2 linked regions of the Arabidopsis thaliana genome follow. The protein of the gene in region 1 interacts with the protein of each later gene in a biochemical or structural test. Each region holds a gene or a part of one and is shown on either strand. Other genes may lie near its edges.

The links.
Region 2: the proteins of CDKC2 (region 1) and CYCT1;3 form a complex in vitro, tested with the Arabidopsis thaliana proteins (one study listed by BioGRID).

The regions. Positions count from the first base shown.
Region 1 is NC_003076.8:25,953,767-25,959,737, forward strand, and holds CDKC2 (cyclin dependent kinase group C2), read left to right. Parts: upstream 1-1,607; 5' UTR 1,608-1,730; coding exon 1,731-1,843; intron 1,844-2,239; coding exon 2,240-2,321; exon of another isoform or gene 2,322-2,383; coding exon of another isoform or gene 2,384-2,419; coding exon 2,420-2,510; intron 2,511-2,615; coding exon 2,616-2,645; intron 2,646-2,758; coding exon 2,759-2,868; intron 2,869-2,959; coding exon 2,960-3,032; intron 3,033-3,114; coding exon 3,115-3,235; intron 3,236-3,342; coding exon 3,343-3,460; intron 3,461-3,558; coding exon 3,559-3,698; intron 3,699-3,791; coding exon 3,792-3,849; intron 3,850-3,932; coding exon 3,933-4,003; intron 4,004-4,126; coding exon 4,127-4,661; 3' UTR 4,662-5,039; coding exon of another isoform or gene 5,040-5,117; 3' UTR 5,118-5,125; intron 5,126-5,200; downstream 5,201-5,971. Other genes in the region: AT5G64950 (Mitochondrial transcription termination factor family protein), read left to right, coding at 121-1,296; AT5G64970 (Mitochondrial substrate carrier family protein), read right to left, coding at 5,040-5,117, 5,207-5,674, 5,762-5,971.
Region 2 is NC_003070.9:9,609,230-9,615,134, forward strand, and holds CYCT1;3 (cyclin T 1;3), read left to right. Parts: upstream 1-1,823; 5' UTR 1,824-1,981; intron 1,982-2,250; exon of another isoform or gene 2,251-2,319; 5' UTR 2,320-2,417; coding exon 2,418-2,647; exon of another isoform or gene 2,648-3,360; coding exon 3,361-3,442; intron 3,443-3,696; coding exon 3,697-3,831; intron 3,832-3,912; coding exon 3,913-4,085; intron 4,086-4,162; coding exon 4,163-4,308; intron 4,309-4,391; coding exon of another isoform or gene 4,392-4,471; exon of another isoform or gene 4,472-4,550; coding exon 4,551-4,738; 3' UTR 4,739-5,107; downstream 5,108-5,905. Other genes in the region: AT1G27620 (HXXXD-type acyl-transferase family protein), read left to right, coding at 295-1,203; AT1G27640 (uncharacterized protein), read right to left, coding at 5,234-5,677.

The sequences.
Region 1 (5,971 bases):
AATACTGTATCTCAAATAAATTAATCTTATCAAATAGAAACCATAGTTGAAAAGTCATGAATGATTCTTAACTGTACAAAATAATAAGCTTTGGTAAAACCCTAAACTTTCGTTTCCAAGATGCAATTTCTAGCTTCTCTCGTTTCCAATTCCAGAAAGTTTGGTCGGAGATGGGATCGAGCTCTCTCGTTGCATCATTTCTCTTCGAATGCGACACCAGCTTCGATATCAAATCCAGCGTTCGTCGAGTTTCTCAGGGACAATGGGTTCCAGAAACCTCTAGCAATTGCCATCGCAATGCGTTACCCTAACCTCAAATCCCTAGAACAACCTCGGTCAGTGATTCAAATGCTTAAAAGTTACAGTTTTTCCGATACCCAGATCCAGAAATCGATCCGGGTCCATCCTCGAATGATGTTCTACAACGTGGAGAAAATTCTAGAACCCAAACTTCGATTCTTTAAAGATATTGGATTTACTGGCTCTGGTCTTGGTAAGTTCGTCTCTCAAAACTCATCAGTCGTTGGTGTAAGTCTAGTGAAGAAATTGATTCCTACCGTTGAGATTCTGAAATCGATTGTTGCCCCAAAACATGAAGACCTTCCTGTCATTCTTAGTAGATGTGGTTGGCTTCTTCTCAGTAGAGACCCTAACTTGTTTCTCTTACCAAACATCTCATACCTTGAAACCTGTGGAATTGTTGGGTCTCAGCTTGCTTCTTTACTTAGAAGACAGCCAAGAATCTTCAATCTCTCTGAGGAAAAACTCAGAGGATATGTCTCTCGTGCTTTGGATCTTGGTTTTACTTTGAACTCGAGGATGCTTGTGCACGCTGTTATCTCGTTAAGTTCTTTGAGCGAGAAAACGTTTGATCGAAAGGTTAAGTTGTTTATGGCTAATGGATTCTCTGAAGATGAGATAACAGATATTATACGAAGATCTCCAGGTTTGATCCGGTGCTCAGAAGATAAGCTTACACTGGGGTTTGAGTTTTACTTGAAGAGAATGGGGTTAGAGAGGGAAGCTTTGGCGAAACGTCCTTGTGTGTTGTCGTATAATCTTGAGAAGAGGGTGATTCCTAGGCTTAAAGTTTTGCAGATCTTGAGGGAAAAAGGGTTGTTGTTAAAAGAGGAGAAGAAGAAGAAGAACATGGTTGGCATTGTTGAGATGACTGAGGAAGCTTTTCTAGAGAAATATGTTGTGAGATTTGGAGATGAGATTGCTGAGGAACTGCTGGTTGCTTACAAGTGCGTGTGTTTAGTCGATGAAACGCTACTTGATCGTATCAAGATCTAATTGTAGATTTCACAAGTCCAAACTTGAAATTTTGTCATTGTATCCAAACTTCGCTCATCCGTAACTGTGTTGAACATTATAATTTGGAAGTAACTCTTAAATCACCCTTTATTACGAGCTTGAAGCTTCTCATATAATAATGGGATTCATATGAAGCGATTCTTTTTCTATTTCAGCACTTGAGCAAAAACTCAAGATTGTCAAAGCGTCTTAAAAATTTGACTCATGAATTTAACCGGTTTGATTTTGGTTCGTTGTAATAACCGGTTTAAACCAGAGATTGATTCCGGATAAAAAAGCTTAGGTTTTTCCGCGAAGCCGACACTGTAAGGTAGGGCTAAAACCTTAGAATAGCCGGAGAGAAGAAGGCGAGAAGAGGAGCGACAAGGGCGAAGCTGCAGAATTCTTCGGTAATTTTCAGATTCGGTTGAATAATGGCGGCTGCGGCTTTTGGGCAGTTAAATCTAGAGGAGCCTCCACCGATTTGGGGATCTCGTAGTGTCGATTGCTTCGAGAAGCTTGAACAGATTGGTGAAGGAACTTACGGGTATTCTTCTCCATTCTTTTTTTTTCTGGGTTTTGTTCCTTGATTCCAATTTATTTGGTTTTGTCAGAGTACTCGTGCTCAAGACTGAAATTTCTCAAATTTGAACGATTTCGCTAGGGCCACTTGATATATAAGTTTTTTTGAAACAATTTTGATTGTGAAACGTTTATATATAGTTATTGATCCATATATTGTTGATTTGAGGAATTTTAACTTTGCCTCTTATCTCAATAAATTCGATTTTGTTGATTGAATTTGGGAATTCTCAGATTCTTGGTATGGTAGATATATATATATATATATATATATATATATATATATATATGTTGCAATAAACTTCTGAAGCTGTCTCTTTTGATGGTGTTTAGATTCATATATTAAAATTTGGTTTTGCAGCCAAGTGTACATGGCTAAAGAAATTAAAACTGGTGAAATCGTGGCTCTGAAAAAGATCCGTATGGACAATGAAAGAGAAGGGGTAAGCTACATTTGAACTACCAGTACTAGCTTTGACAAGTTGCAAATTTTTGTGAGTTTCGTATGACTTATATTTCCGTTTTCATTGTTTGCATGGAGTTTCCGATAACCGCTATCCGGGAGATCAAAATTCTGAAGAAGCTGCATCATGAAAATGTCATCCATTTGAAAGAGATTGTTACTTCTCCAGGTAATAAGGAACTCTTATCTTAGCTTGTAATTGCTTTAGAAATTTTGTCAAAAGGGGTGTTAAGTTTGATATGTAGAGTTTTGTGACTGTTTTTGTCTTTAAAAGGTCGAGATAGGGATGATCAAGGAAAGCCAGGTTAGTGAAACTTATTCAAGATCGAAATATTTTCTGTACAACTTAGATGCGACTATGAGAGATCTATTTAAACTGCTTACGGCCTAAAGCTTGTTGCTTTTCTTCAATTTTAGATAATAACAAATACAAGGGTGGAATCTACATGGTCTTTGAGTACATGGATCATGACTTGACTGGACTTGCTGATCGTCCTGGACTGAGATTTACGGTTCCTCAGATAAAGGTATTGCATGGCTAGACACCTTGTTGTAGTAGCCTTTGCAAAAACCCTTATTGTTCCGACTTTGTCTGACATTTGAACATATGTAAAAAAGTGTTACATGAAGCAACTGCTGACTGGGCTTCACTATTGTCATGTGAATCAAGTGCTTCACCGTGATATAAAAGGTGAATATATCCCAAAATACATTGTTGACCATTTTGTTCTCTTGTCTTTATTTGCTAGTTAACCTATAATATATTGGTGCAGGTTCGAATCTACTTATTGACAATGAGGGAAATTTAAAGCTAGCGGATTTTGGGCTTGCTCGGTCATATTCTCATGATCATACTGGAAACCTCACAAATCGTGTCATCACTTTGTGGTATAGGTATGTATGCCTACAAACTTTGAAGTTATATACAAAAAAGTGACAAAGAATAAGTATTGCTTATACGTGCAGCTTTTTCTCTACTTATGCATTGTTTATTGCTGTAGGCCCCCTGAATTGTTACTTGGTGCAACTAAATATGGACCAGCGATTGACATGTGGTCAGTTGGATGCATATTTGCTGAACTTTTGAATGGAAAACCAATCTTGCCTGGGAAAACTGAGGTCAGGATTTCATCTTATGATTATCGTGGTGTGTGTTATTACAGTGTTCTTTGATGATGTTTCCACTTAGCGTTTTAGTCATATTTTTTTCTTTCCAGAATGAACAATTGAATAAGATTTATGAGCTTTGTGGATCACCTGATGAAAGCAACTGGCCTGGAGTTTCCAAGATGCCTTGGTATAACCAAATGAAATCATCTCGGCCCTTAAAGAGACGCGTAAGGGAGATCTACAGACAGTAAGTATAAACCATTATGTAGTTGCGACTCTTTTATGCAACAGTTACTTTGATCCAGGAGATCTCATTTGGTCCTTTTCTCTTCTGCTATAGCTTTGATCGCCATGCCCTTGAACTACTTGAGAAAATGTTGGTACTTGACCCATCTCAGGTACCAAAGAATTTTTAATACAGAGAATTAAGAGCCTTGGTCTAGACATTTAAGTCCTTTCATTTTCCTGTCTGTTGGTACAGAGAATATGCGCAAAGGATGCTCTTGATGCTGAGTACTTTTGGACTGATCCGCTGCCATGTGATCCAAAGAGGTAATCAAATTCTCTTAACTTTCTTGTTATGAAAACCCATTTGGTTCATCATACATCACAAATGACGATCAAGAACAATTAGTGAGTGATTCAGCTTGTACTGAAACTGTGTTATGTCAACAGTCTACCGACATATGAATCATCACATGAGTTCCAGACAAAGAAAAAACGGCAACAGATGCGTCATAATGAGGAAGCAGCCAAAAAACAGAAACTGCAGCATCCACAGCAGCAACATTCTCGTTTACCTCCACAGCAACACGGTGTTGGCCAGTCTCATGCCGCTCCACTTTGGCCTGCTGGACCAAACCACCCTATGAACAACAACGCACCACCACCCCAAATACCTGCTGGTGGCCATTACTATGGAGGAAAGCCCCGTGGTGGTGCACCTGTTCCAAACCGGTACCCTCCTAGCGGAAACCAGACTGGTGGTTATAATAATCAGAGCCGTGGAGGTTACAGCAGCGGAGCATATCCTCCACAAGGTCGTGGTGCACCATATGGCGCCGGTCCTAGAGGACCTAGCGGTGGCTATGGTGTTGGACCACCCAACTACTCACAAGGTGGTGGTCAGTATGGTGGATCTGGTGGCTCTGGAAGAGGTCAGAACCCTATGGGTGGTGCTAGAAACCAACAATATGGATGGCAACCGTAAAGAGAACTCAAAGAGACTCGTATGGTGTGGTCTTGGCTTGATGTCTTTAAGGCAGTTGTGATTTTAGATATGAAGACTTATCTTCGCGAAAGAGAATCTATTTTCATTTGATTTCTTGTCTTAATGGCATTCTTCCAAACATTCTGTGATTGTTGTATGTTTAAATCAAGGTTTATATATCAGAACACAGGAAACCAAATTGGATTTTTACCCAAATCTTATTATTTCTTGCAAAAAAACGTTTCACAACCTCTTATCTGTTTTCGATGAAGTGTGGAAAAACTACACGAATCAGTGTAAACCCCAAAAAGAAAACGAAAAAACTCTCCTCTGAAGCAGCTCCAGCAGTAATTGTGTCATTTCTCATTGCTTATTGTCTTATGCGGATGATTCTACTTTCAGAACAACTTTCATGAACTCGTAAACAAAGTAACTGATTGCCGCGGAAGGCAAAACCTGCAATAGTGAGATAATTCACAAAGCTGTAAAACCTGCAATAAGCTGGTTCAAGAGATTAATTTATGACTAGTATTAAGGAATCAAACCTGCAATAAGCTGGGAATCAAGCCAGCATATAGAGCAGGAACACCTCCTTGTTCAATGATCTTCACACAAGTAGCCACTGCGCTTAACCTTTTAGCATGTGACTGCATTTGTAAACGCCTTCTCACAACTTCAAACGGATATGTTGCTGCTTCTGAGCAAGCCCCTGCGATTGCTCCATATAACAAAGTTCTCATGGGACCAAGCTCGAGTTGATCGAAAGCATTAAGTTCTTCACCTTCTTGCTTCATGTGTTCAAGCCGTTTCTTACCTTCCGGTGTATGAAGGTAAGCTGATTTTAAAATATCATAGACACCGTAGAACACAGCTCCCGATGGAGCCATACTAACAAGTGAAGGTACAAGACCTTTGTATAGGGAAAAGAAACCTTCAGTTTGAATCATGTGACGGAATGCACCAACTACACCACCTAATGCTTCTCCACCGGGTGCCACCATAACCGTTCTTATCTGCAATTCAAAACCAAAGTAATGCTAAAGAACCTCCAGAGAATGGTAAAAGAAGCTCAATGAAGTTTTTGTTGTGATTCCACTTACAGTATCAAGTGGTAGACAAAGCAAACTAGCTGTTACTCCGGCAGCTGCACCAGCAACAAACCTCTCGAAATTTGTCGTTTCTTCATTCCCGGACAATTTCAGAAGCTGACCTCTATATGTATCATATGCATAGAAGTTGATGGACTTAAAGGGAGCAGTTCTGAGAATATTAACCAAATTCCCTTTCCAAAATCCTCTAATCCCTTCATT
Region 2 (5,905 bases), on another chromosome or scaffold:
TTAATAAAGAGATTATATGGAAGAAAAAGAAGGGCGCATAGAGAATAATTTGTCTGTTCAATCATACTCTTTTTCTTTTCTCGTTTACACGAAAAACAAAACCCTTTTTTTCTTGCATTGAATTAGTTCATTCTATAAGTCGTTTTGTTCAACTCATGTTATGTGTTTTATTAAAACTGCGTTTCTATGAACTTACGTATAAAGTATCAGCAAGTTTGATTATTAACGCTTGAAAGCTAGTCGAATGTAATAATAAATCGACATTTTGATATCTTACGAATATTAATGCCTCAGGTGACGTATCTCCGTTGTGGGGGTATGATCCTCTGCACCGCGATCAATCATTGCCTCTGCGACGGCATTGGCACATCGCAGTTCCTACATGCATGGGCCCATGCGACCACTAGCCAAGCTCATCTTCCGACCCGACCATTCCACTCCCGTCACGTATTAGATCCGCGAAACCCTCCACGTGTCACACACTCACATCCCGGTTTCACCCGAACCACCACCGTAGACAAAAGCTCCACCTTCGACATTTCCAAGTATTTACAGTCCCAACCATTGGCTCCTGCCACCTTAACCTTCAACCAATCTCATCTCCTACGCTTAAAGAAAACCTGCGCTCCTTCGCTAAAATGCACCACGTTCGAGGCACTAGCGGCTAACACTTGGCGCTCGTGGGCTCAATCTCTAGATTTACCAATGACCATGCTGGTCAAACTCTTATTCTCAGTCAATATGAGAAAACGACTAACTCCAGAACTTCCCCAAGGGTATTACGGTAATGGATTCGTACTAGCTTGCGCCGAGAGCAAGGTACAAGACCTAGTCAATGGTAATATTTACCACGCTGTAAAATCGATACAAGAGGCAAAATCAAGAATTACCGACGAATATGTAAGATCAACGATAGATTTACTGGAGGATAAAACGGTGAAAACGGACGTCTCGTGCAGTTTGGTCATTTCACAATGGGCGAAATTGGGATTAGAGGAGTTGGACTTGGGAGGAGGAAAGCCAATGTATATGGGTCCTTTGACGAGTGATATCTACTGTTTATTTTTACCCGTGGCGAGCGATAATGATGCCATCAGAGTTCAAATGTCCCTGCCGGAGGAAGTTGTGAAGAGACTAGAGTATTGCATGGTTAAGTTTTTAGACGGAAAAGATAACGAAGATGAGAATTCTCGTGCATGCTAAAGTTTCTATATACATTTCAGTGGTCTATAATAAAAGAGTACTTCACTTGTCGATTTTTGATTGGTTTTAATATGTTTTATGTACGAAATATTTTCTTATATATAAGTTTGAAAACAGAAAATAGACATATGAACCCCAATAAAGACTAATTAAAGAGAGTACTAGAGTAGCTCACTTGTCGATTTTTGATTGGTTTTTATTAAACACAAAATGGATAATATGATGAGTTTAAAAACAGTCTTTCTCCATGCTAGTATGATAATGATATTGACTGATCGATGAATTCAAAGGAATACATGTTTTAGTTTAGTTCATCAACTTTAGCTTAACGTACGGTTCTTAAATCGAAGCCAAAATTCAAATAAATATTAATATATATCCAATTTTGGTAATCTCTATCAGATTATAGCTTTATGAAAATAAAAAATTTAACAATGATTCAAATTGCTAAATGCTAATATATTGGTTAAAGTGTTATTTTCTGCAAAAGTTCAAATAATGTTAAGACTATTTCTATGTAGTTTGATCATTTCAATCTCAACCACATAAAAAACGACACTATATATTAATTCGAAGCCCATATCCATTATCGAATATGATGAATTGCTTACAATCATAAAGTCAAAGCCCATATCCATTTTATAAATAGAGTTAGATATTTATCTTTTTTAGGTCGCAACACCGCAATAGATCTTTTCCCCAAGTTTCAGACAAACATAAAGCAGCAGAGAAAATTTTCAAGTTTCAAAGAGCTTTTCCCTCACCAAGCAAAATTTGGGTTAGTGAAATCTCAAATTTTGCTATCCAATTTCGTTAATCCTTCCTTTGTTAGAGTCGATTTCGTTGTCCTCTGATCTCATCTCTTGAATCAATCGGCTCCTCTAATCCTTTACCTCCTTCACGTTTCGTAATTATTCGATCTGTTTTCTGCAGATTTCGTGAATTTAATTTAATCGCCTCCTCGATTTTAATATTTCGTGATTTGATAGAATCTGTTGGAAATTTCTTGATGTTGCGATAATGGGTCAAAAAATATATATGTGAAGCTGAGATCAGATTTGTGTCGTATTATGTCCCAAAGCTATTTAACAATGAATCTGTGTTTGCTATTTGCAGATATTTGTCAGCAAAATCTGCAGCTAAATTGGGACTTGTCTTGTTAGTTCAAAGATTGAAACTTTTTTGGTTAATTGTTTGGCGGAAGAAGATTTACAATGGGAGAGGAGCATCCGAGAAAGCGGTCTAGACAACATTTTGAAGCGGAGGCGAGAAACGTATCGTTGTTTGAATCCCCTCAATGCGAAACCTCCAAGTGGTATTTCAGCAGGGAAGAGATTGAGCGTTTCTCTCCATCCAGAAAAGATGGGATTGATCTTGTGAAGGAGTCGTTTTTACGGTCTTCGTATTGCACCTTCCTGCAAAGACTTGGCATGAAGCTTCATGTGTAAGCTCACCATAGTATTACTTTGTTGTTTTGTCATCTAGGAAGAAATAGTGTTTGTTCTTTGGTTGTTTGCTAGAAAATCTACTTATGACGTCTCCTTGTCTTCTGATATTTCTTGGTACGTTTTTTTAGCTAAAGAGGGTGCCTAATGCATGACAATGGATAGCCTAACTGTTGAATTTTGTCGTAGGGCCACTGTGGGAGGTGGTCTGGAGGTTCTCCAACTATAGATTCTCGATTTTGTCTACATTTATATCTCGTGAATGGAAGAATTATGTAATAATAGTCAGAATTTGGTGTCCATGCATCATATATTGACTCACTTGTCACTTCTCATCGGCAATGGGAGGATTTGCATCTGTTGTGAATTTGCTTGGGAGCTGTTCACCTGTTTAGACATGACCTTCTGATCTATATGTCTTTGTATTTGTAATTCTCTGCTGGGTTATCAAAACCCTCAGCTGTGTTCCTACCTTTACCAACTGATGTTCTTAGTTTTCTGAGCAAGTGCACGTCTCTCTCCGGCCTACTTTTTTGAATCATCTAATCATAGGTACTGGTGTATTTTTGTCTTCTGCATTACTCACGTGTGTCGGAAAAGTTTATAAATGCTGGTTTCGGTGAAAGTGATGTCTAGCTATTAGTTGCTGCCCGAGATATCATAACATTGACCTTGTTCATGTTAAAGGTTTTTGACAATCTCATTGCTTCAGGTCCCAGGTTACAATATCATGTGCAATGGTGATGTGCCACAGGTTTTACATGCGCCAATCTCATGCAAAAAATGACTGGCAGGTAAGAATGCTTTAGTATTCATATGGTTCATCAATTGCGTTCATTGGAGCTGACATGTAAATATTAATGATTGAATAGTCTGCAACAGATATATTGATTCTTCTTACAAAATTTGGGTTATGAGCAATATAATGTTGATGAAAACAAGTCAAAAGTGGTTATTTAATAGTTATTCAGTCTTCCTGGTTAATTAGAAGTGTATATGATTGCTGCTAAATATTTCCACTTCGGTTTCTCACTCGGTGATTTTGCAGACAATAGCGACTTCCAGTCTGTTCCTCGCTTGCAAAGCTGAAGATGAGCCATGTCAACTGTCCAGTGTCGTTGTAGCGTCTTATGAAATAATTTATGAGTGGGATCCTTCTGCCTCAATTAGAATCCATCAAACTGTAAGTGTATACATACATCTATGTATTGGTAAATTCGCACTGTGCATTTTGCTAATTTATTACATGTTGCTCTGCCTGTAGGAGTGTTATCATGAATTTAAAGAAATTATTTTGTCCGGGGAAAGTCTTCTGCTGAGCACAAGTGCTTTCCATTTAGACATTGAACTTCCCTACAAACCTCTGGCTGCGGCTTTGAATAGACTGAACGCTTGGCCTGACCTTGCAACAGCTGCATGGAATTTTGTGCATGACTGGTAAAGACCCTTGTTAATAATATCTGCCCGATTTTTCCCCTACATTGAGTTTGAATCTTATTATGCATTGTGTGTAGGATTCGAACCACACTATGCTTGCAGTACAAACCCCATGTTATTGCAACAGCCACTGTGCACCTAGCTGCTACGTTTCAGAATGCGAAAGTAGGCAGCAGGAGAGATTGGTGGTTGGAGTTTGGAGTTACAACTAAGCTATTAAAAGGTTTGCTGTTCAAACTCTATTTTTTCCTCTGGTATTATTGCAGTCATTTGATCAAGTGAGATGTAGTGTTTCTATAATGTTAGCGCTAGGAATATGTGGTACTGTAGCTCCAGCTCATGTTAGGTTCTTACCCTGTGCACATATTGAGTTTGGAATTAGGTAGTGGCCTGAACGAAGAGATGTGCTGCTATTGATTTTAGCGGTTGATTAAAAATAATTGGATGTTTTCATTATGGTGACAGAGGTAATCCAGGAGATGTGCACACTGATAGAAGTGGACAGAAGGAGGAATATGCCACCTCCACCTCCACCTCCAAGAAGAGAGTTAAGTTGGGCAATACCTGCAGCCGTAAAGCCGGTCCATATGGCTAGAGCTTATCCGTTTCACAGCTACCCTTTGCAGTCCTATAGACAGGCTGGCATCTGGTGAGCCATTGTTGAGCAGCATGAAGATGTAATCTCTCTTAGAGTCTTGAGTTGGTTTAGCAATAAAAGATTTCCGTAGAGACTCATGAGAGAGGCAGTGTAGCATTATATAGAGATCCGAGTGAGGTGCTTCTGTCTAAGTTAAGCGTCTCATGTATGACCAAAGTGGATTCTCTCGAGATTCTTGGTCTCTGTTCTCGATAGAGAGAGATTATGTATAGAAGTGTCCCATTCACATGTTATAATACTAGCTGACTTTATATCGTTTGTATATCTGGAATCTATGTTTTTGGTTTCTTTAAAAAGTTTAAAGTTGTTTTGATTTTGACTAATTCTCTCATTGTTAAGTAATTTGGTTTTTGATGAAGTGCTATTAGGTCTGTGTTGAGTTGAGACTTGAGACGAACACAATCATCATATGATCAAGCTTATACCGATCGGATAAGTAATTAACCGGTTCAATTAACTACACCTAGCTTATACCGATCGTATAAACCGGTCAAGAACCAAAACCGCTTGGTTTCCATTCTAGACCAAACCGGATTCTAGTTTCCATTATTATTATCTTTTTTATCGGATTAAAAATATAAATCCTTATGTCAGGAGATCCCATTCTCTGTCTCTCTGTCTTTCTCCCCCAACTCGCGAACAAAGCAAACCCTAGATCATCCATCGGCGAGTGAGACGGCAGCTCCTCGTCGGTAATTCCTTCCACCGGCGGCGACCACTCACCCTCAGATCTCTCAATCCCACTCATCTCTGTAACATTCTGTACGCTTTCTCTCTCTCTTTCTTCGCTTTTGTGATCTATTACGGCTCGGTCTCTGTGCCTCCCAGCTCTATTTTGGAGCACTGCTTCGTCTCTGTGTTTATTTGGCTCCTTTGTGTGTTTCTCTATCTCTGCTTTTCTTTTGTATTGCTCTGTTTCCGATTTTATATCCATATGTCTCTGGTTATTTGGTTATATCTATGTGTGATTCTTTGTTCTTTTTTCCATTGAATTCAATAGCTGACTAAGATCTCTGCCTTTTATCTTCAATAGTTGCTCAATCTTTTCGCTTTCGTAACATAATTTAGTTTCTTGTTGATGTTTTTGATATCTACCAATCTCTTTTCAATTTATGTCTATATGTTGCTAAATATCTTGTTCAATGACTGATTTCTTAAACTC